Arabidopsis thaliana: one gene and its partners. The protein of the gene in region 3 interacts with the protein of the main gene of each other region in a pairwise test. Each region holds a gene or a part of one and is shown on either strand. Other genes may lie near its edges.

Region 1 (8,636 bases), on a different chromosome or scaffold from region 3:
TCAGTTTTTCTTTTTAAATTGTGCTTACTTTCATATACTGTACAATTGAGTTTATAGAAAATTGGTTTCAAATTTCTAAAATGAAATACAAGGAATTTCTATTAGGAAGTAGACTTGCTATTTTAACTTGTAATCACAATAAAAATATCTATATCTATGTGTGTGCGAAGTGTGAACTGTGAATGGGTCTTGAATTTGTCACCGCCGTTTCTTTTAGGGTCAATGAGTATATCCACTAAACCCATCTTACACTTTTTTATATCACTTTTTTTTTTCTATCAATAACAAAAAATTCTATAAAACGTGTTTTAACCATTATAATTGTAAACCCTAAACCCCACGATCCTACACTTTTTATATCACAACTTGTGTGTTTGCTTAAAACGTTGTTAATAACCATTATAATATATATCTAACATAATAACATTAAACTTTTTAATTAGTCCAAAAAATGAACTTACAAATTATTATCTACTAATAACGATTTCAATGAGGTATGCAGCATGTTGTTGGGTTTGTTTTGAGAGTGACGCAAATCTGTCTTTTCTCCAATCTAATCAAAGATACATAGCGATTCGGTGACATCAATTCTAGAACCAAAAAGATTTGATTAAACAGAGAAATTGACTTAATATGCATTTATAATATAAGCTCTTATGTTGTAGAAAAATCCAAACCTGTTCCACAAGCAAAAACTAAGCTGTATGGGACCATGTTGATATAGACTAAGACCCTAAGCGATATGTACAAATACAGGTGTTATACATAGAAAGAAAAAGAAACCGTTTTTTTCTTTTTCTTATATCTAATTCATATACAGCTAGATATACATGTAATTTAAAATGTTATCTTTATGTAGTAATTTATTGCGAGGGATGAAATATCTGACGGAGGTTTTATGTGAAAACTCGAAGGTGTATTTGATTTTCGGTCAAATATATTTTAATGGCTCTCTCGTATATTGATGATCACGGCTCGGTACATTGTCCTATTACGAACTCGATAAAATTAATTATATTATTTTGTTGTGCAAATCCGATTTAGTAGCTCGTCGTTTGACCCTATATTGAGACATATAAAACATATAACAATTTGCAATAAATAATTAGTTGTTTTTGTGTATTTCTAGTTAAAAAAAAATTGAAAAAATTGTGATACAAAGAATTATAAAAACGTTGACAGCAACATGACTGACTAAACGAAGAAATATCTTACGTACATTACATTTTTTTTGGGGTCAACACGTAGATTATAAATTCAACAAATCCTTAATACGAGAGAGGTAAGTATATTATGGCCCATCAAGAAGGATAGTGGCTTATGGGCCTATGTTATAATATGAAATAAAAGCCCAATTATAAATGAATTTTTATATACTAGAGTGCAAAGTCTGGGCCCAAAGTAAACAGTCTAACGTGTCTTGTCGTTTGATTTCCTCCACTCTAATTATAAATTAATTAATTACGGGGAAAAAGATTAATTAACTTTAGTGAATCCATCATCAATCAAAGACTAATAAAATAAGCGTGAAGGACAAAAGCACTACGGGTCTCATTGTCTTGTCTCAACCCGCATTATTTGTACTCGCAAATGCTGCTAATCTGATCTACTGTTTACTTTTGCATTTTTGTAATAATTTATCTGTATTACTATTATTGTTTTTTACCAATCACTTTTTAATTAGACACATATTTTCATGTACTCATAATTTTAAATATAATGTCTGATGGTAGTTGTAGTAATTTGAAATAATTAATATCCTTTACTTATTATACAGACGATTAAACAAAATATGAGAAAGAGAAAATCAAAACTTTTTACGGGGAAGGTTAAGAAATGCCGTATTATTATTCTGGACGGTGAATATTTTTCTTTTACTTTCCTCTTTGTGCATAAGGTGTTAAAGACTTTTTTTTTTGATTAATCGTCTTTAAATCTTTGGTAAAAGGAAAGAAAAAAGGTTAAAAAGAATAGAGAGGGGTAAAAAAGAGATAACGTGAGTGGTACGGAAGAGTGATGATGAAAAAAAAAGAGTCAGAGAAGGTCATGATGATGATGAACGGACACAGGCCTCTCTTACTCTCTTACCATCAAATCCTACGGTCAGATTGAGATATTTTGTGCTTCCCATGCGTGTTCTTCAATCCCATTTCACCCCTTTTGTTATTATTATGCTCCCCTTTCCCCAATTCCCATTACCTTCCTTTTTTAATTACTTTGAATTTTTTACAGTAATTTTTTTTATGTATATTACACCCGACTATAATTTTTTTCTTTTTTTCTTTTTAACACGAAAAGAATGTAACCGACTATAAAAATTAACATACATAATTTACCTGTTTATTACCAACGAATTTACTTTTTTACTTTTTAACCAATCATCCTTATTACTATGGATTAAACGTTGTGTATGATGATCGTAACAGTGCAATTCAGACATATTTAATACTCCAGAAATATGTATGTTGTTCACATTCAAATTTTGTACTTCTAACAATAACACCACAAATTATACTTTCAAAAAATGAGATTTTTTTTTTAAACTCAATTCGGACAAACTTGTATGTATCTAATTTTTGTCATGACTATAATTTTGTTTCAATCAGTTTACTTATTTAAGTGCAAATTCAACAAAAATAAAAAACAAAAATCTAGCACGTGACGTAACCTTATGAAAAAGATTAATCTATAGTCATTATTAAAGTTACTTATACTATTTACCCATTCATCTATCTAGAAGACTACAATGAATGCCAAACCAAAAAAAAAAAGCAAAATGAAAAATTCAAGTTTGGGGGGACTAACATTTCTCAATGGGCCCCATCCAGTTGGGCCAATCTAAGTAAAAAAAATTGAAAGATAAGGAAACGTAATAATGAAAGTTAAAGAAATTAGGAAGGTGGCGGAATTTAATTAAATTTAATCCGAAAGAAAGAAAGTGATTATAAAAAAAGATTAACAAGTCTTAATTAATTTTAGATTAATAAAGTAGAGATAGAGAGAGAAAGGAAGAAAGTGGAAGAGGTTAGATGTCCCATTCACCACCCGGCAAACCGACTTGGAATGCCGCTTTCTTGTCCCCTCCTCACTCCTCTTTTTCTCTCTTTACCATTTTACCCTTCATTCCTCAATCACATTATCATCACATAGAGGTTACATTAGTCATTAAAAACAAAAGGATAGAATCGGAATTTAATATTTGCAGACAACCATCCCCTTTCGGGTGGAGCCAGAAAAGTGGCATAATTTTGTTTAAAGATCCGACTCCCGACATTTGTACATCAACGGTTCATATCTGCTGATTTAAATCCGACGGTTTAGAATTATCAGCACGATCAAATCTGAGCCGTTGGATTAGAATCCATTCGTAAATAAAAATACGCAACTTTTTCCACTTATTTTCTATTCTACCACTTTGTTTAGTTATTTTAATTTTAATCTCGGCTACGAGTTTCTGGGTAATGATAATTAAGCTTTTTTCTGCTTTAATGGAAGGACCTTGACACTTCTCTCTCTCTTTCTCTTTGCTATTCATCTTCTACAGTTTCTTAAAAATTATACTCTTCTTCTCCAAAATATCTCAGACTCTCTTATTTTTGATCGTCTTCTTCTTCTTCGTTGTGAGCTTCCATTTTTCATCCAGGATTTGTTTTTTCCGTTTGAGGTAATTATGTCTTCTCTGTTCTTCTTATACATAGTTTCAAATCCGGTAATTTTTAGCTTGTTGTTGTTTGTGTGTGTAGTTAGTAGTTATTAGATCTATTAGCTATTGAGTTTCTTTGCTGATTTCCTCACTATTTCTATGGCGAATTTTGGTTTGTTTGAGCTGTTGGCTTAAACCTTGCTAGGTTTAGTGATTTGTAGATAGAATTCTGTGGAAATTCAAATCTGAGATCAGCTCGAAAAATGTAACTCAACGGTGTAGTTTCTTCATCTGACCTTAAGTTGACTTCTATTTATTTTTAGCTTTCCATTTTTTTCTCAGATTGAGCTTTATTTTGCTCTAAATTTTGGTTGTGAGTTTTTCATAGATGCAATCTACTTTTGAAACCCTAATTGATACGGTTTCGAGTTTCTTCGAATTTTGATTGAAATTGAGTTCTTGATTTTTTCTGGTAATTTAGGGTTTTGTTTGAGGATTTGTTTATGGTTATGTGAATTTAATGTGGAGGACTTTGTGCTGTGTAAATCATCAGGTAAAGCAGCTTTGCAGTTAAAGAAACCTTGAGTATCCAATGTCCCCGGAAGAGGAGCTACAGAGCAATGTATCGGTGGCTAGTTCTTCACCTACTAGCAATTGCATCTCCAGGAACACTCTAGGAGGACTTAAAGAGCATAACTACTTGGGTCTCTCTGATTGTTCTTCTGTTGGAAGCTCTACTCTCTCTCCCCTTGCTGAAGATGACAAAGCTACTATCAGCCTCAAGGCTACGGAGCTGACACTTGGTCTTCCTGGATCACAATCTCCTGCGAGAGACACAGAGCTTAACCTTTTGAGCCCAGCAAAGCTAGATGAGAAGCCATTCTTTCCTTTGCTTCCTTCTAAAGATGAGATATGCTCCTCCTCGCAAAAGAACAATGCATCGGGAAACAAAAGAGGCTTTTCTGACACAATGGATCAGTTTGCTGAAGCTAAAAGTTCAGTGTATACTGAGAAAAACTGGATGTTCCCTGAAGCAGCAGCCACCCAGTCTGTAACAAAGAAAGATGTGCCACAAAACATACCCAAAGGACAGTCTAGCACTACAAACAATAGCTCTAGTCCACCTGCAGCCAAGTATGAATAGAAGATAGGAGCATTCGTTCGATTTTGATATGGATTACTTTCAACAGCTAGCTAACTGGTGTTTTTTCGGATTCTGGAATTTTCAGGGCACAAATTGTCGGTTGGCCTCCAGTGAGATCCTACAGGAAGAACACATTGGCCACTACTTGTAAGAACAGTGACGAAGTTGATGGGAGGCCAGGTTCTGGGGCTCTCTTCGTGAAGGTCAGTATGGATGGTGCTCCTTATCTGAGGAAAGTTGACCTGAGGAGCTACACTAACTACGGGGAGCTTTCTTCAGCCTTGGAGAAAATGTTCACCACTTTCACTCTTGGTGAGATGTTTCAGTGATTGCTAGTGATGTGTTTGAAAACCTCTTTCTATTTAAGGATCAATGAATGAGTGCAGTCAAAGTAGTTAACCTGCACTGTTTATTTGATGTTTAGGTCAATGTGGATCTAATGGAGCTGCTGGGAAGGATATGCTTAGTGAGACCAAGCTCAAGGATCTTTTGAATGGAAAAGACTATGTGCTCACTTATGAGGATAAGGATGGTGACTGGATGCTTGTTGGAGATGTTCCGTGGGAGTAAGTTTCCTCTCTTATATTCAAAACTTGTTAGAAGCTTTCTCTACTCTCTGCCAGATATCTTAGAATCAAATCTAACATGCCATAGAAGATTATATCATGGTGATTGGTATAAGCGCTCATGAGTGATTTCTGATCCGATGTATATTACAGGATGTTTATTGATGTCTGCAAGAAGCTGAAGATAATGAAAGGGTGTGATGCTATTGGGTTAGGTAAAGTCTATTCTTCTCTCTGCTCCTAAGCTACAACGTAAACTACTATCTCTACTAAAACCGATTACAAGTAGTGTGTATGATGAGATTAGTGGTTTGTTGGTGTGAGTTACTTGTAGCTGATTTAGAAATTTCAATTCATGTTTGATCACTCGTCTTCTTTTGGGAGTAAATACAACAAATTAACATGTAAATAAAATCGAAATTAAACTGATTTCAATTCATGTTTGATCACTCGTCTTCTCTGATTCAAAATGTCTTAATGATTCAATGTGGTGAACTGGTGATATTGCAGCTGCAGCTCCGAGAGCAATGGAGAAATCGAAGATGAGAGCTTAAAAGATGGAACATGACAAAGCTTTCTAACTATACAAAATATGTGCGATCTTTTGGTGGTGTTTTTAAATTTCAAAACATCAATATCTTTAGTTTCTGAATTTTTAAAATGAAGTAAGTAAGACTACGAATGTAAGGAAATGAAGAAGAATTAAAAATGATCTATTTTTGTTGTTTGTTTGTTGCTTTAGTCAGTAAACTGGTCGTTGTTTTATGTTTTGTGTTTGATTTGGATGTGTGGTTGACTTCTACCTTTGAGATATTATTTGATGTAACGTTTTTGTTATTCTCTTCTTTGCTTCTTCTCGAGAAGAGAAGATAGACAATCCGGTTTTACGATTTGGCTTTCTATCATTGAACATGGAGGTTCTTCTTCTGCATTTGCAAAACAATCTTAAATATTAATCAGTACTTAAATCTTTGAGGTGGATTGTTAAATTCTAACACATTTGAATGCGGAAGTGGTAAACCTACGTTTTTCTCAATGTCTATGACTCTATTCTAAATGGAATATCAAGATTAATCAGAAAGAAAAAAAAATCTTTTTATAACTGTCATAACTAAACTGTGCTACCAAATCATTGCCACCAACGGATCTTTAAACCAACTTGAATAATTCACCTGAAGAACCAAAAGCTACAAGACAAATCAAAGATAAATAAAAGTAATTTCGCCGGGAAAAGGTTTTGATATCATTATTTCACTTTTTAACCTTCCATGAAACTTTGTTTACCTTAGCAAGCATGGGCTGCGTACAAACTCATGATAACTATATAGTACAATCCCCAAACGAAGATATCATAAATTTCAACGAATCAGTTTTAGATTTAGTGAATAACTATAGTTTAATAGTATCGAATAATATCGTTTGAGAGAAAAATAGTCAAAGATACATGAACATAAATTCCCATATACTAATTTCCCATTTCTCATTCAAGGAACGTTTATTATTTTTCTGTTCCTGAAGGTGGAAGCATAGTGCGCCTCTTTGGGTTTGGCAATGGTGGTTTGCTTATTTGTTTTATGAAAATTATTTTTGTGATATCATTTATTGTTCATTTTTAATAATTCCGTTAGCGTTGACAAAACAATATGATTAAACCCCACCTAAAATGAAATGTTATATTCAACTGTCCAATTTTTCAAAGAGGCGTTAATTAATCAATTCCAAGGCATATATTCGATCAAGATAATTAAAGACTCATATAGTACTCTCATAGTTTAAGAGAACCTACGGGTCGAATTTAAATCACTCTTGTTACTTTAAAACTTTAATCCAAATAATGTAGTATATATCTGTGATTCTTGTAGCTAGCTTCACGTGAACTTAATAGTATACACATAAACAACAATCATTGGTCGTGAATCTCATTTAATTCGTTTCGCTTTGATGCACTTATTCGAATGGGACATACTATATACATCCATATAAGTTGATAAACTATATAGTAATATTCAATGTTTTTAAAATTAAATATATGAAATAGACTTAGGGAATGACATGTCGAATTTGTCTCCAAAAGATATGAATTGAATTATGCTTCTCAGTAATGGAACGTGGCAATACCTTTATCACTCATCTATATATGGTTGTTCCCCAAAATTATTTCTTCATCAAACGAGAAAAATAAGATTGTAAATGTAAATGATTTGATCATCTCAATGTTGCATTCAAGAATAGTATCTATAATATTTAGTTATAAGCATTAGGTATTAGGTCAATTATATTCAACTGAGTCTACGAATCGAATTGCATATTGCGTAAAAATTCAAATAAAAGAAGCTAGATAAATGAATATACGTACGATTACGAGAATGAATGTGTGTTTCTTCGATTTGGTAGACCTTCAACAAACCCACCGAATTGATGGTATCCATAGATTTCTTATCAGTTATCAGTCATGGGAGAGATTTACGATCTCATATATATGGACAAAATATATCGTATCAGCATTATTATTGATTTATTGTTTAGTTAAGTTCTTTTTTTTTTGGTTTTTCCTTTTTTTCTTTGAAAGGTTTGATTAGCAGTTTTGTCCGGACAGACCAAGTATATATATACAATAATTGTGATTGTGTTAGGACATTCAAAATCTTCCATACAGTTTTCGAATTAAGTTGGTATACAAGTTTTTCAAATGTTAAATCAAATCCAACTAAACTAGATTTGTTAAGGATACATAGGATCATCTCTCTTTAATATCATAATATTCCTCTATCTCCTTTATGGAACATTCTATATTTGTACAACCCTAGTGTAGCCTCCTCTGTACTTGTATATATACTTGTGTAAAGCTATTCGTATAATATAAGTCATTACATTCTTAACATGGTATCAAGAGCCTAATAAGAACATTGTTGGTTGTAAATGGGTATTTAAAAACAAATTTCTCCCTAATGGTTCTCTTGGCAGGTGCAAATCAAGGTTTGTGGCAAAAGGGTATAATCAACAACTTGGCCGTGATTATACAGACACTTTCAGTCCTGTGATCAAGTCGACCACCTTACGTCTTGTTCTTGATGTTGCGGTAACCCGATCGTGGCCAATCCGACAATTAGACGTCAACAACGCCTTTCTTCAAGGCACCTTGAAAGAAGAAGTTTACATGGAGCAACCTCCTGGGTTTATTGATCCCGACAATCCATCATTCGTTTGTCGACTACGTAAAGCGATTTACGGGTTAAAACAGGCTCCGCGTGCTTGGTATACGGAATTGAAGACTTATCTCCTC
Region 2 (6,951 bases), on a different chromosome or scaffold from region 3:
TAACCACAAAAGACAAGACTCGTTACTTAAGTTAAATGATAGTGACATGATTAAGAGAATATTAGCTATTAGGTCGGAAATAAGAGAAATAAGACTGGTAGTGGTATGGTTATGTAAATTATCAGTACATGTATATAACACTTGTCCAAATAATGGCTTTCACATTACAAGTCATTCTTTCCCTGAGACTACTGCAAGAAACAAACACGGAATTCTCGTGATAAACGGATTAGTACGAAGGAAAAAGTAAAATGCAGTAACCAATTTTTATATTTCAAAAAACAAGGCATTTTGGATGCAATGAAATATTTAGATATATAAATTTGACTAGTGACAACAATTTAAAGTTGTTAGATTTCTCAAATCCAAAAAAAAGGAAATAAATAAATAAATAGTTTATGGCTATTCAAATTGTGTATTATTTTTTCTATTGGTTAAAATCTATAAAAGATTTTTTTTTTATTACTTCTTAAATTTATGTTTATAGCCAAAACATCTAATAAAATGGGACAGAGAATAATAACTAGGAATTCAAACACATTATCAATGATTAGCAGAATAAAAGTTTGGAACATCTAAACCTAATGACTTTATACTTCCCCTTTTTAGAGTTTACTTTGTATGGAAAACTTTGTAAGCTAACAAACAAAAGTATTGAAATCGTGAAAAATAGTAAAGCTTTTTGAGCTGCAATATTTGATGCGTTGAAACGAGTTGGAAACAGCTTTCACTACACTAAAAACAAACTTAATCTCAAAATTTAGATGGATTAAACTCAAAACTTTTTAATTAATTGAATAGGATTTTAGGATGATGCAGTGAATATAGACTATTTGGTGAAAAAATACAACGTAACGTACGTGGCTGCTCTAAGCCTATATAACATAGCCCAAGAGAGTCGTGTTCTAATGTGATTAAGTAAAGTGAGGGAGAAGCAACGAGAGATAGAGATAGAGAGATCAAGATGAGAGGATCTGATCAGAAGATTCTACTGATGGTTATGGTGGTTGTAGCAGTTGTAGCTGCGGCTCAAGGCCAAGAAGAGACTACTGGATTCGTGACATGGGGTAACAATTACTACCAGACATGGGGACATCAAGCTTTGGTTATTAATAAAACCTCTGAGCTCCAGCTCACCCTCGATAAAAACTCTGGTTTTCTATCTCTCTTTCTCTCTGTCTACATGTGTCTGTGTGTTTGTGTCTAGTCGATGATTGTGATTGGTCTATGTTCCTTACAGGGTCCGGGTTTGAATCCCAATTGATTTACGGATCAGGATACTTCAACGTAAGAATCAAGGCACCTCAAACTACGTCTACGGGAGTCATTACTTCCTTCTATGTACGTGAATGACCAGTAAACTTAAGTTTGTCTAAAAATAAAGATGATGAGATTACGTACCTGAATAGCTTTTTGAAATCTGTTTTTCTGCTATACGGCAGTTAATCTCCCGTTCAAGCCGCCATGATGAGCTCTGTTTCCAGATCTTGGGAAAGAATGGGCCACCGTATTTGCTGAATACGAATATGTATCTGTACGGTGAAGGAGGCAAAGATCAGAGGTTTCGTCTCTGGTTTGATCCAACAAAAGATTACCATTCCTACAGTTTTCTTTGGAACCCTAATCAACTTGTGTGAGTATCATATAACACTTTTTATCAGATCATCCATTGATTAACATCAGTAACAAAAAGAAAATGTATTTCCACATTTTCAGGTTTTATGTTGACGATACACCGATCAGGGTGTACAGCAAGAATCCAGATGTTTACTACCCATCGGTGCAGACAATGTTCCTAATGGGAAGTGTGCAAAACGGATCGATAATTGACCCGAAGCAGATGCCTTACATTGCTAAGTTCCAGGCATCAAAGATTGAAGGGTGTAAGACTGAGTTCATGGGAATAGATAAATGCACTGATCCTAAGTTCTGGTGGAATCGCAAACAGCTAAGCTCTAAAGAGAAGACACTGTACCTAAACGCAAGGAAGACGTACCTGGATTATGACTATTGTTCTGACAGACAGCGATATCCAAAGGTGCCTCAAGAATGTGGAAGTTACACTTAGAGAAAGATCAATACCTGTCACAGGGTTAAGCCTACAAAACAATTATCTTGAAAAAATAACTTATGTTACTGTAAGATGCTTTATGATAAGCCTTTTCTATCAAATAACAACATTATTGTCATCAATGCTAGATACATTACTATGTCACGAGTTCATATACAGATACCTATTTACACAGAACCAAGTTGGTTCAGATCGGGTTTGCTTGAGGTTTACAAGCACTGAAACCTCTGAAAAGAACCTTACAGGTTACAAGACTGCATTTTCTCAGACATCAAGATAAGTCAAATATGAGAAAAAATCGGAAAGAAGCATACAATAGAAACTGCACATTAGATTATATATAGTTAGGCTAAGTCGCAGCAATGATGGTTTTGCTACAATAACATATACGTTAACAGAGAGAAACAAGAGTTTTTTTTACTCTTCTTTAACGAAGCCTTTTCATTGAATTTAGGCATAATCTATCAAACACATCCAAAATTCAAGGCGAGGTCGACTAATATCTGCTATCTTCAAGCAGGTCAAGCATCATCTGGAATACTCTGAGCTTAACTGCAAAAATGATACCAAAACATTGAAAGGTAAGTTTAAGGAGCCATAGTTCATTGATTCATTCAGATTCAGCAGAAGAGCAAGAGAATCTAGTTGTTTGATATAGCAATGTTTGCAAATTGCGATATGAAAACAATTTTCAAATCTTGATGATTACAGGATTAGAGATTGTTTATCATTCCAAATCCTAAAACCTTAATAAACAGAGAAATCTTGGACTAACATGATTATATCCCAAACAAACCAGACTTAGAGATTGTTTATCATTCCATCTCCTAAAACCCTAGACGATCATGTAATCAATCAATGTATATCACATTGCACAGAAAATGAAACTTTACCCTTGGCCGTCGAGATTCCCTTGACCGGAACTTCCACCACTACCATAAGAGACATCATCTCCCGTCCCCGTCGAAGTCTGCCAAACACTCTGCCACGCCTGAGACGGAGGCTGGACATAAACACCATTCGGATCCATAGCTGGTCTCCCAATCATCATCCCTCCAGGACCAGCTGGTTGTCCCATCGGCGGATAATAGTAAGGCACGCCGCTCGCGGTAGGAGCCACCACCATTCCACCACCGAGGACTGCGGCTTCGTCCTTAATCTCATCTCTAGGAACAATATCAACAAGGAAATCGAAGATATCAGTCCTAGTAATCGCAGCAGCGATATCGTTTTTCTGAAGCGTACGACGTTTATTCTCCTCAGCGTGAAGCCAAGATCTGATCGTGAGCTCGAGAATGAAAAGCTCACAAGCTTTCGCGAAGAGAATCGGTGCTTCTGCGGAGATCATACGAACATCTTCATCGGCTTTCATGATCTTTTTTATCCTAGCTAGTGGAAGCTGATGGTTTTTGAAATCGTTAACTTGTTCGATCTCTTGGCGTTGGTAGGTCCAGAATAGTTGGAGCTGTTGTTGTTGTTGTTGGAGAAGGTGGTGGTAAGAAGCTCCTCCTCCTGCGGCGGAGATGGTGGTTCCAGGTGGTGGAGGAGGGATTCCGGCGGCGGAGGGAGGTGGTTGCTGGTTGTTGGTATCCATTGGTCGGTTTTGGATTTTGATTTTTGGATCAAAAAGGTCGTGACAAGTTTTTGCCAAAGGGATTGGGGTACAAGTGGATAAGGTGGACAGCGATGTAGCTGATGATTTTCTCTCTTTTTTTTCTATTTCCTAAATTAATTTTTTTCTATTTTCTATTTCAAGTTAAATTTTGTTTTTTTTTTACACGTACCAAAGTTCATATGCATCCGAAATGAACCAAAAGAAAACATCAAGAGTGAAGAGAGCTGTCAGGAAAATGTTGCATCAAGAGTGAAGAGAGCTCTTTATTTCCGACTTTGTCTTTGCCATCGAGTATCGTCTTCAAGGTATCATCGCATCGTATCCGCCATTTACTACACTTCGTAATCTACAAATGAAACAAGTGAGCTCTAAACAAATCATAATCTCTAAACATGAAAATGCAATCTATGACCACCAAACAGAGAAGCAAGCACAAGGTCCAAAGCCACCTAAAGACACTCTATATTCGTAACTGGTGAATTCTTCATCTGACAGTGTATGAATTGACAAGCTAAGTTTTCAAAATATGCAATCAGAAAAGACCATTTCCACAAACAAAACCAAAACATTCAAGTGAGTAAACAACATTTTCAGCGTAGATGTCAATTACTCCAATAATGACCAACACAAGAATCAAATCACTACCATTCTCCAGTCTCTAGAGACTCCAATCCCTAAATGCATAAACATGTAAAGAGGAGATCATAAGGAAAGTAAAAAAGCTAACCCAAGGAAACTCGAGCAGAGTAACACCCTCATCTACGAGCTTGTGATCAAAGGCATAATCTAGCAATTTTCTCAAGGCGGCGTCAAAAGAGATTTCGCTTTGGCCGACGAATCTAGCCAGCGGCTCTGAGACTTTCACAATATCATTGAACCCCCATTTTTCTATAGTACCTCCACCGGTAGCCTTCACCTTCGCCGACATAGTTCTAACGTTAGGAAAATGTCGCAACAAAAGCTCCGTCATCTCTCTGACTCCGACGACTTTGTCTTGGCCATCGAAAATCGTCTTCAAGTTATCATCGCACAGTATCTCCTCTATATTCTCCGGATTCTACAAATCAAAGACCTATAAATCAGATACATTGCTCCAACAGAAAGAATCAGATCAAAAGACCTAGAAATCACCAAAAAAAAAAGTAGAATGAAAGGAAACTGGAGAAGAGTTTCGAAATCCCTAACCCAAAGATTGTGATCATCGGTATACTGCTCCACTTTCTCCATGGCGGTGGAAAAAGAGACTTCGCTTTGGCCGACGAATCTAGCCAGCGACTCTGAGACTGGAAAAATCTTATGAATTCCTCCTCTTCTATCAACGCCGGCGCCGGTAGCCGTCGCATTAGTCACCGCCTTCGCCATCAGTGTCCTGCATCCTCCTAGAATCTTAGAAATTGGCGACATTGTTGTTTCTCCTTCACTCCACTGCCCCTAACAATAAACAATTGAAGAAAAGTCTCCAACTAAAGAAATTGATGCAACTCATTTTGGGCCTTGTTGAATATTTATATATGGGCCTAATTGGGCTTCAGTTATATTGGGAGTTTATGAAGATCTTTCGATTGCTCAACATATCACTAACATTAACAATGAATTTTGTCTATTTCTTTGTTCCTCAATTCTAGTTTCCATACATAAAATCACACATTTTCAGATCAAAACATAGGAAGACGAATGCAAACAAGATTTTTAATCAGTTGTGTGGCCGTGTAGTGAGCGAAGATCGCATATCGACAATAGCAGATTTATCGGCACCAAGCTTCATTGCCTCTTTACTAGCTCTAATGAACCGAGAAGTAGCTCCTTTGACATACTCATGAGCTTGTTTCACAGTCATCTTCTTTCCAATTTCTTCCGGGAAGCTACTGAGGAAGTGATCACCATTGAGAACCGCTGCAAGCTGAACCACTTCACCTTGAAACTCAGAAAGAGCAGCGTCTTCTTTAGGCTCAGTGGCTCTCATAGGTGCAACTTCAGGTAGAGTCATGGGACAATCGGTTCGAGGAGTGGTTAAGTGAGATACAACGTCTTCGAAAGTAGCAGCCCATGCATCTCTATGTGTTAAGAAATTGGAAGAGAGATTGAAGAGTTTCTTGATTGTCGCTGGTATTGATGAATGCTCGTACTCTGAGCTCTCTGTTGGTCCTTTTGCTTCACTTACGACTTCATTCAAAACATATAATAAAATAAGATGTTATTAAACTATATATAGTAAAAAAATATTAAAATCAAATGGGGTCAAAGGATGGTTGAAAAACATGAGTCACGCAACGACGCCGACAAATTATAATATACTCCATCTTTCAATGGCATAATCAATGGATTCAATTATTTTCTCCACCATTATTAATGAATACAATCTTATAGTTGTCAAATGCCATCCATGTGATTTGGTTTTTGCAGCCTTAAATTTTGTTAGCAAATGTCAAAAATCTGTCGGAAATAGTAGTAGAAAGTGGAAATACATGAAATACAAATGAATTTCTTTTTTTGGGTTAAAGAAATGAATAGTTTCAATATTAATAATTCATAAGTGAAAAAAATAGTACGTTAAATAGGCATAAATACTACATATAAGTTTTTTGGTCAGTAGTTTCAAAACTATTTATATATCAAGTTCAAAAGCGGAGTGTTCTTGTTAATTTGGAAAAAAGCTTGAGGATTCTACTAAAAAGCAATGCACACTAAGAACAAATTTGTAAAATTATAATAGAGAAAAAGAGAACTAACCGGTTCCTTTTTGAATCCAAGGCGAAACCATAATGGTAGGAACACGAACACCTAACCGGTCGAATTTAAAGAAACCAGGAGCCGGTCCAGTATTCCCATCGGGATTTGGTATACCGACATAAGGAGTCTTGACGTGATCATAGAACCCACCATGCTCATCATAGGTTATAACTAGGAGCGTCTCGTTCCACTGTGGACTCGACCTAAGTGCCTCGTACACTTCTTTAACCAGCTTTTGACCGTTAGCCACGTCATGCGACGGGTGATCATCGTTAGCCGGTAAACCTTTGAGATCGAAATACCTCGGTTCGATTACGGTTAAGCTCGGTAACTTTCCTTTGGCCGCGTCTTTCTTGAATTTCAAATCGTATTGATGCAAATTGAAAATGTACTTTAGCTGTCGGAGATTACGGTAGAATAATGTGGTCGGAATATTCTGAAAGTATATTCCGAAGTCGATGTCGTTGCTATGAAGCGAATCAAATATCGTCTTCTGTGGATACCTGAAATTAAATGATGAATACATAACTATGCA
Region 3 (7,480 bases):
AACTTGTTCCGGCGTGTATCTAACGTACTTGCCGGAATCAAATCCTTTATCAGGAGAGTCTCTATCGTCCATGGAGTGATGAGCCATCATATCTTCCAAACAGGTCAGTAGAAATCAGAGAGAGAGAGAGGGTTTACAAAAAGAAGAATAAAGATCGATACTTTGAGAGAAGTAAAAGAGACTCAGATGAAGAAATATTAGATGGGTAGGCTCTCTGAGAAGAGAGAGCCTCCTGTGAGAGTGTTCATGAGATGGTAATGGTTGGAGAAAAGAGTTTTTTGGGTTTTTTTCATTTGCTCTCTCTCTCAAAGGAGATTGAAAGATGGAAAGAGGTAAAAGGAGCAAAAGCGAGGCAGCTAAGTAGAGAGAAGAGAGAGAAGAGAGAGAAGAGAGAGGAAAATACTGAAAAAGTAAAAGTAAAGATCTTTCTGAGAGAGAAAGGACAAGGAACAACCCAACAAGATGCACTAAACTGGTAAATATTGTTTTCAAAAAAAATTAAAGGTGAAATTTTTGGGAGAGTAGGTTGAATTCAATGTTTTTGGTTAAAAGCTTTTTACTGTTAAGGCAAAGTAAAAATATTTAAACTTTTTCTTATACAAAGCTAAGCTTGAATTTTAATTCAAAGCTTAAATTCTAAAAGTTAAAATGATTAACTAGGATAAAAGTTTATGTCTTTGATAACTCATTATCAAAGCGGTAGAGTTTGTACAACTTTGACAGTTATCATTTATAAAATCTTTATCAAAAACGTTATAAAAAGTTTTATTCTCAATTTTATTATACAACTTTCTCGTACAACTCTTTTTTATAGTTTGCAACTATTCCGAAAAATTTTACAATTCATCTAAATTACCAGTTGGACCCATATATATTCTTTGGTTGCCACCATATAAATATTATTAGTTAAATAGATAATTATAATATTGATTGAATTAGATTAACAATTCATTTTAAAAGTTTCGTAATATTTGATGCATAGTTATAAGTAAATAATTACTTGTTTTATTATTTTTTCTTACAACTCTTTTAAATAGGTTTAATATGAGATGGAATCTTGATTACACTTCTCTAATTCATATCATTACCACCTAATTTTCTTTGTGTAAACATGTTTCTGTATTCAATATTCTTGGATTAGATTAAAAGGACAAGTAGATGTTGACAATTAAAAAGGATTGAAAGTGATTAGTTTTGAAAAACTTAAATGCATTCAGATTTCAGACTAAGGCTAAACACAAACAGATGAGAAAACCAACACGCAAAGTTGTTGTCTCTGCAAATTTTAAGACATATCAATTATTATCAGAATCCCTAGTCCTAATGGCAATCGATAAGAATAAATATGTTTATCTATTGGTAACAAAAATAAATCATGCTACAACTATTTATATTCGTAAAACGTAAGTGTTGTTGTCAGAAGAAACGGAATTTTGACAAAATGGGGTAATTTGCTAACTTAGGGAAAGAAAGCACTTCTCTTTAAGCTCTGTGACAGTGGCCTACCCAAACATAGCATCAAATTTTCCCTACCCTCTTTGCTCTCTAGTCCTAAGACGTTGTATGTATGTATGTATGTGCATGTACATATTTTCATGATGATGGTGTTGTTGTATGCCTATCTTTTGTATCCATGTGGAAGAGACGATGCATGACAAGTATGTACAATGTCACTATGCGCGTGAGATGCGTGAAATCTGTTGTTTTTTTTGGTTAACCTTAATTGGTTTTATTTCCTTTAACTTGTTTTGAAAGTTTTGAATATAAATTAGGGAATTTAATGAAAAAAACCCTTAACTTTGGCCAGATCCATTTTAAACCCTAAACTATGTTTTTAGTAAAACAAACCCTGAACTAAAACCTGTTAATAAACTTAACTCCACAGTAATTAATTATTAATGGGATATTAATTTCTAAAAAAAAAAACAACGAGACATTTGTATTTAGCGCAAAAACCACATGATGTTCTTTAAAACTATTTTGAATTTATTACAAAAAAACGTTCTAAATGATTTTGAATTGCTTAATTAGTTTGGATTTTAGAAGCTGAAAGAAAGACACAACAACTTAAAATAATCCAAAGAGTCATACTTAAATAAATCCAACCAACATAACTATCGAAGCTGTTGCAACACAACAATATTTGTCACAAAAAAAACAATCGTTTCAGAGGGACAAGATATTCTAAAGTAAAGACTTGTCAAGCATTAACTTTGAAGAGAAGATTGTATTGGCTGAGTGATAGGGTTCTCTTCATCCATTGTTTTCTGTTTTTTCCTTGGTCGTCTTTGAGGTTTCTTGGGTGGTTTTGGCACTGCTTTACGCTTGCATGAACGTTTGTTGTGTCCGACTTGTTGATAGTTGCTACAAGTCTAAATATGCAAAGATTAAATTAAATAATTTGAAAAGGAAGATCTTGTGAAACATAATTCATTGTTTTCTATTTTACCATTTGAACTTTTTCACGTGTATAAAGAACTTTTTGAGGTGGACGATCTTCAGTTGGATCACGGATTCTGTCATTGTTCTTTGGTCGATTTTTGGAAATTAATATCCCATTAATATTTAATTACTGTGGGGTTAAGTTTATTAACAGGTTTTAGTTCAGGGTTTGTTTTACTAAAAATATAGTTCAGGGTTTAAAAATGGATCTGGCCAAAGTTGAGGGTTTTTTTTATTAAATTCCCTATAAATTATGAGAAAACAAAGACAGGTCTGCCTTTGCTGGGGGTACAACCTGTATTTTTGGTTGGTTACGATTTTTCAATTGGTTTGTATCCATTTGTCCAAACATTGTTTCTTTTCTATTCTTTTTTGGTTTTCTTATAACTTTCTATGATTTTTGGACAGAAATAAATATATAAATTAATATATTTATTTCTTATGTGAAGTATATATATACGCAAAATACAAGATTGATCATCACCTACTATGAAGGATTTCGATCTAACGGCACTTTTTACCTAGATAGCTAATTTGATATTTGAAGTAGAGAACAATGGAGAGATTCTCATCGAAATACCATACAAGTAGAAGCTCTTAATTATGAGGATCATGTTGCACATTCAAGTAATATTTCTCTGCACAATTGTCTGTAAATAGGAGAGCTATTTCGTAGAAAACCGAGTAAACTAAATCCAAAAAAATTCTGCCCTCCAAATAGATTTCCAACGATAAATACAAAATGGAGGCAGAAGCAACACATGTGGATGTACTTCGCTCCTCAAACGTCTCTGGTTTCGTCAGAAGGTTTGGTCTGATACCTCAACTCGATCCTACAAATAATAAGAAAACAAGCTAATTGGATTATTGATTTACAAGTGGCACAATAGATTTTTTTTTTTTGGGTCTAAAATGAGAGATAAAATTAATTTACAAATGGGTGAAATTCCAAGAAATTACAAAATTTTGATTACGAAGAATTTATTAATTTATATAGGTTATTAAGTTATTGACTATTATTTTTTAGAGGTTGTATTGTACTTGCATAACATTATCATAGATGAAATTATGTGGATAGAATCCTTGTAGATATGAAATGATCCTTGGTGCAAAGGTTTGAATATCGAAGTCAAGTATGGCTTCAATATCTCATTTGATGTATTCAACATCAACCAAGACACGATAACCATACTAACGTTGATAGGGCTCTATATTCCTCTTGAAAGTCAGAAAGGATTCTTGTTCTGGAGTGAGACTGTGAGAGATATAGTACCTAATCTTCTATGAGGAGGAAATACATATCGACCATCCACCCGTTCTTGCACATAGACCACAACCTTGGTGTCATTGTTTGTGGATTCTTCCATTCTTCGTTTTATTACCAAAATTTCTTATAACAAAACAATATCAGTAGCATTGTATTTAACTAAACATCATGGACATTATTTATTTCCCTTTTTCCTCGGTGGGTTTTATTTAATAATCACAAGTCTAAAACCCACTTCACGTTTACCTAATTGCTTCCCAAGAACCTATCTATACCTTTATACAAAGATTTGTATATATCATACACTAAAAGACATAGATGATCTGAGACCAAACAGAGCCAAAATACAACAAAGCTACTTGTAGGACCTTCTCAAGATGTACCACTAGAAGCAGCCATGGCGGATTTACCAGCGCTAAGGTTGGATTTTTCTTCATGACTACTGTCTTCGTGATGCTCATCCTCCTTCTTGGCATTTAGAAACCGCCCGCCACATCCTCTTGGTCGTCTTATCGCATGCAAATGCCGAGATTCATGCAAATACGGCTACAAATACACTCTCAAGATTTACACAAATGAAGTAAGATATCATAACCAATAAACGATTTAAGAAAAGTTTTCTTACCTTACGTGACTTGATGACTTTATTCTGAGACTCAAGTCTTGCTCTTGATTGTCTGCGCCTTAGTATACCGTGGTATTGCTTTGCGTTAACAAAAACAGGTTCCTCGACTGCATCAGATGGTAAAGGAACGCCTTGTTGCTGCACTCCCATCAACTGTAGATGTACCTGAAATGATTTGTAACATAAATCCAACTTATCCAGATAAGAACAATCGTCGTAGGGTGGACTAAGTAATACACCATACCCCGGTATACGGTTGTGGAGGCGGTGCAAATATGCTTCTGTAGTAAGGATCTGGATATGGATATTGTCCAGGTGCCTTTAATTATAAGAATACACATACATAAAACATGAACAAAATTTTGTTACTTGTATATCGTCTGAAAATGCAGAAAGGTGATATTGTATTAGTCATGGTGCCAAGAAGTAGTTAAACCTAGAAATTATCAACTAGAAGGTGCTACATATGAAGAGCAAAAAAATACAAATTAGCTAGCTTCAAAGGCAAGGCAATCAAAGATTTGGACGAAACTCATTAGCAATAATCAAGAGAGGTGTGATCAAACATTTCCATTTTTACCATGGAATTTGTAGTCCCCGGGTCTGAGTAGACTAAACTTGTAACAATTGATTCATAATTTCTTGCAGAAGGGATTGGTGGTTGGAAATGAGAATCTCTCTGTTCTTGCTTCTCATGACTTCCAATGTTATCTGGACAAGAACACACCAAACTTAACAAGAGAGCACCACCAAAAGAATCATTAACAGCAAACCAAATGAACTATAAAACAAGCTTAGGTAAAAATCTATCTTCTGAAAGCAGAATCAACTTGAAATAAAATATAAGCATAAAATGAATAAGGAAGAGAGAGAGCAAAACCAGAAAGCTCATGGATTGAAGAAGTCATGACTCATGAGCTTAATGTCCGAAGCAGAATTCTGAAAAGTTCCAAAGAACAGAGTCAGTACATGATCCTGGTAAACCTATTTTAAATAAACTCAAGAACCAGAACTATCAAATCCCCACAAAATCATTAACCTCATATTTAAACTAAACAAGTCAAGCTACTTAGAATAATCACAGAACCAAATCAGAACATCCACAACTTTCATAAATAACAACAAAAGATGATAAACCATAATTAAACCTATAATTCTCACAGTCCTACTAAATCCTAAAACAGCAAAGCAAAATTCTAACAAAAAACAAATCAAAGGCTAAGAATTTCAAAACCAATATATAAAATTTACCTCTCTGCAATTTTCTCTGACGACGATTAGAGAGCCTCTTCTTGAAAATGAAGAACAGAGAGAGAGCGAGAGAGTGTCGTTTTCTTCCCTTCCTCAAGTTATTCCGCACTTTTAATATCCCCAAACTTCAGAGCGTCCTTCTCAACTAGCATAAAACGTCATGACGTTTTCAGTCTTCAGCAAGTAAAGAAACGGCAGAGTTTGTAACAATTGATGCGGACGCAATATCGATCGTACAAGTGGAGAATTAGAGAAGCGTTTTAGATTGCACGTAGCAGATTACGGGCAGATCTAAAATTTGCTGACCGAAGCAGCTCGCTTACACTACTGATTAAGTCCACGGGGACCTAACCTCTACCCGTTGCCCGATTCTTATTGGTATTTTCTGTTGTGTGAGTCATCGATAGCGAAACCGGTTCGTATTTGTTTGAATTCTAGAGACATCAGACAAGAGAGTAATCTCGGTTCGGTATGAATCTATGACACTAATTCGAATTGTTCAGCTACATAACCGAACAAAAGCCGAAAATTCAAAATACTTATGTTTTGGTAAACCGATGATTATTATGATTTATTGATTTATAAACTCTCTAAAATTTTCATTAAAATGACGTTAGGCGATTCGAATATTTTATGCAATATTCTATAACCTTTGGTTGGGTTTATGGCAGCACATGTAAGATAAGATTATTCTCAACTTTAATAGTATATACCTTTTCGTCGTTTTCTTGATGGCTCATGTCACTACATAAATGATATATTGATTATTCTCTGAGAATATTCTCTTCTCAAAACCAACAAATTTCAGATATTATCATCATATCATGTTTGAAAAGTAGAAAAACACCAAATTCAAATTTATTACGATTCTTAAATCAAAAATCAAAAACAGCAAATACAAATAAAGAGCTCAATAGACTTCAACGTGCCACTGCTTGTTCTTCCTGAGCTGAGAAAGCTTCAAGTCCCAGCTCTCACCTCTCTCTTCTGCAACTCTCTTAAGTGTATCTTGAATCCCAGGCATCATTCCTTTAAGCCCACAGAAGTAAATATGAGCTCCATTGTCCAAAAGCTTGAAGATCTCATCACTATATTCTTCAATCTTGTCCTGCACGTACATCTTTCCACCTTTCTTGTTCTTCTCCTCTCTGCTCAATGCCTTGTCGAACCTAAAGTTGTCTGGATGGTCTTTTAGGTACTTGGTAAACTCTTCGTCATAGAGAAGGCTATCGGTGTTGGCCACGCCTAAGAAGAGCCAAGCTAAGCCGCTAAATGTCTTGTTTGGGACGTTTTCCATGAACATTCGACGTAAGTAGCCTCTGTATGGAGCCACTCCTGTTCCCGTGGCTATCATTATGTGTGTCGCGTTTGGATCACTCTCGGGTAATAGCATTACCTTCCCAGATGGACCTGGTTTTGAAATGTATATTGAGTTAAAAGAAAACTTAGTCCAAGGGGTCTTTAAGTATGAGATCAGTTGGTTGGGTAATTAGTTTACATACCGGTGATTTGAATCTTGTCACCGGGCTTTGAATCACATAGGAAGTTGCTGCAGACTCCGTTCTTTGAAGGATCTTCTTTTCCAGTCTCAGGGTCGTAATAAACAGCTCTACGTACACACAAACTCGCTGTTTTACCGTCAAAGAAATCTCCGTACCTTGTTGATGCAATTGAGTAAAGGCGCACATTGTGTGGCGCTCCCGGTTTCTTCGGGTTCTCACCCTACACGCAAAAGTTCCAGTTCATTAATAGATTTAAGAGATTAAGAATGGTGGTAACAATTTGAAGACAACGTAACAGCACGAGGGACATGACTTACTGGAGGAATCACACCGTAACTCTGTCCTTCCCAGTAAGGAAGGTTACCATCATGATCGATGACGATATGACAAGTT

Evidence for each region.
Region 1: the proteins of NF-YA7 (region 3) and IAA9 interact in binary tests that used the Arabidopsis thaliana proteins (3 or more experiments, as listed by UniProt).
Region 2: the proteins of NF-YA7 (region 3) and NF-YC1 interact in a two-hybrid assay, tested with the Arabidopsis thaliana proteins (one study listed by BioGRID).

Annotation. Positions count from the first base shown.
Region 1 is NC_003076.8:26,250,228-26,258,863, forward strand, and holds IAA9 (indole-3-acetic acid inducible 9), read left to right. Parts: upstream 1-3,180; 5' UTR 3,181-3,664; intron 3,665-3,719; exon of another isoform or gene 3,720-3,908; intron 3,909-4,196; 5' UTR 4,197-4,235; coding exon 4,236-4,777; intron 4,778-4,872; coding exon 4,873-5,099; intron 5,100-5,211; coding exon 5,212-5,353; intron 5,354-5,506; coding exon 5,507-5,568; intron 5,569-5,863; coding exon 5,864-5,907; 3' UTR 5,908-6,317; downstream 6,318-8,636. UniProt on the Arabidopsis thaliana protein: Aux/IAA proteins are short-lived transcriptional factors that function as repressors of early auxin response genes at low auxin concentrations.
Region 2 is NC_003074.8:18,006,274-18,013,224, forward strand, and holds NF-YC1 (nuclear factor Y, subunit C1), read right to left. Parts: upstream 3,746-6,951; 5' UTR 3,666-3,745; coding exon 2,965-3,665; intron 2,624-2,964; coding exon 2,620-2,623; 3' UTR 2,320-2,619; downstream 1-2,319. Other genes in the region: XTH11 (xyloglucan endotransglucosylase/hydrolase 11), read left to right, coding at 965-1,154, 1,241-1,341, 1,443-1,633, 1,717-2,068; AT3G48600 (SWIB complex BAF60b domain-containing protein), read right to left, coding at 3,895-4,032, 4,414-4,743, 4,872-5,090; NPC6 (non-specific phospholipase C6), read right to left, coding at 5,380-5,849, 6,417-6,919. UniProt on the Arabidopsis thaliana protein: Stimulates the transcription of various genes by recognizing and binding to a CCAAT motif in promoters.
Region 3 is NC_003070.9:10,800,655-10,808,134, forward strand, and holds NF-YA7 (nuclear factor Y, subunit A7), read right to left. Parts: upstream 5,775-7,480; 5' UTR 5,586-5,774; intron 5,274-5,585; 5' UTR 5,243-5,273; coding exon 5,215-5,242; intron 5,046-5,214; coding exon 4,915-5,045; intron 4,654-4,914; coding exon 4,579-4,653; intron 4,500-4,578; coding exon 4,335-4,499; intron 4,256-4,334; coding exon 4,082-4,255; 3' UTR 3,796-4,081; downstream 1-3,795. Other genes in the region: PHV (Homeobox-leucine zipper family protein / lipid-binding START domain-containing protein), read right to left, coding at 1-90; RFNR2 (root FNR 2), read right to left, coding at 6,496-6,995, 7,088-7,307, 7,405-7,480. UniProt on the Arabidopsis thaliana protein: Stimulates the transcription of various genes by recognizing and binding to a CCAAT motif in promoters.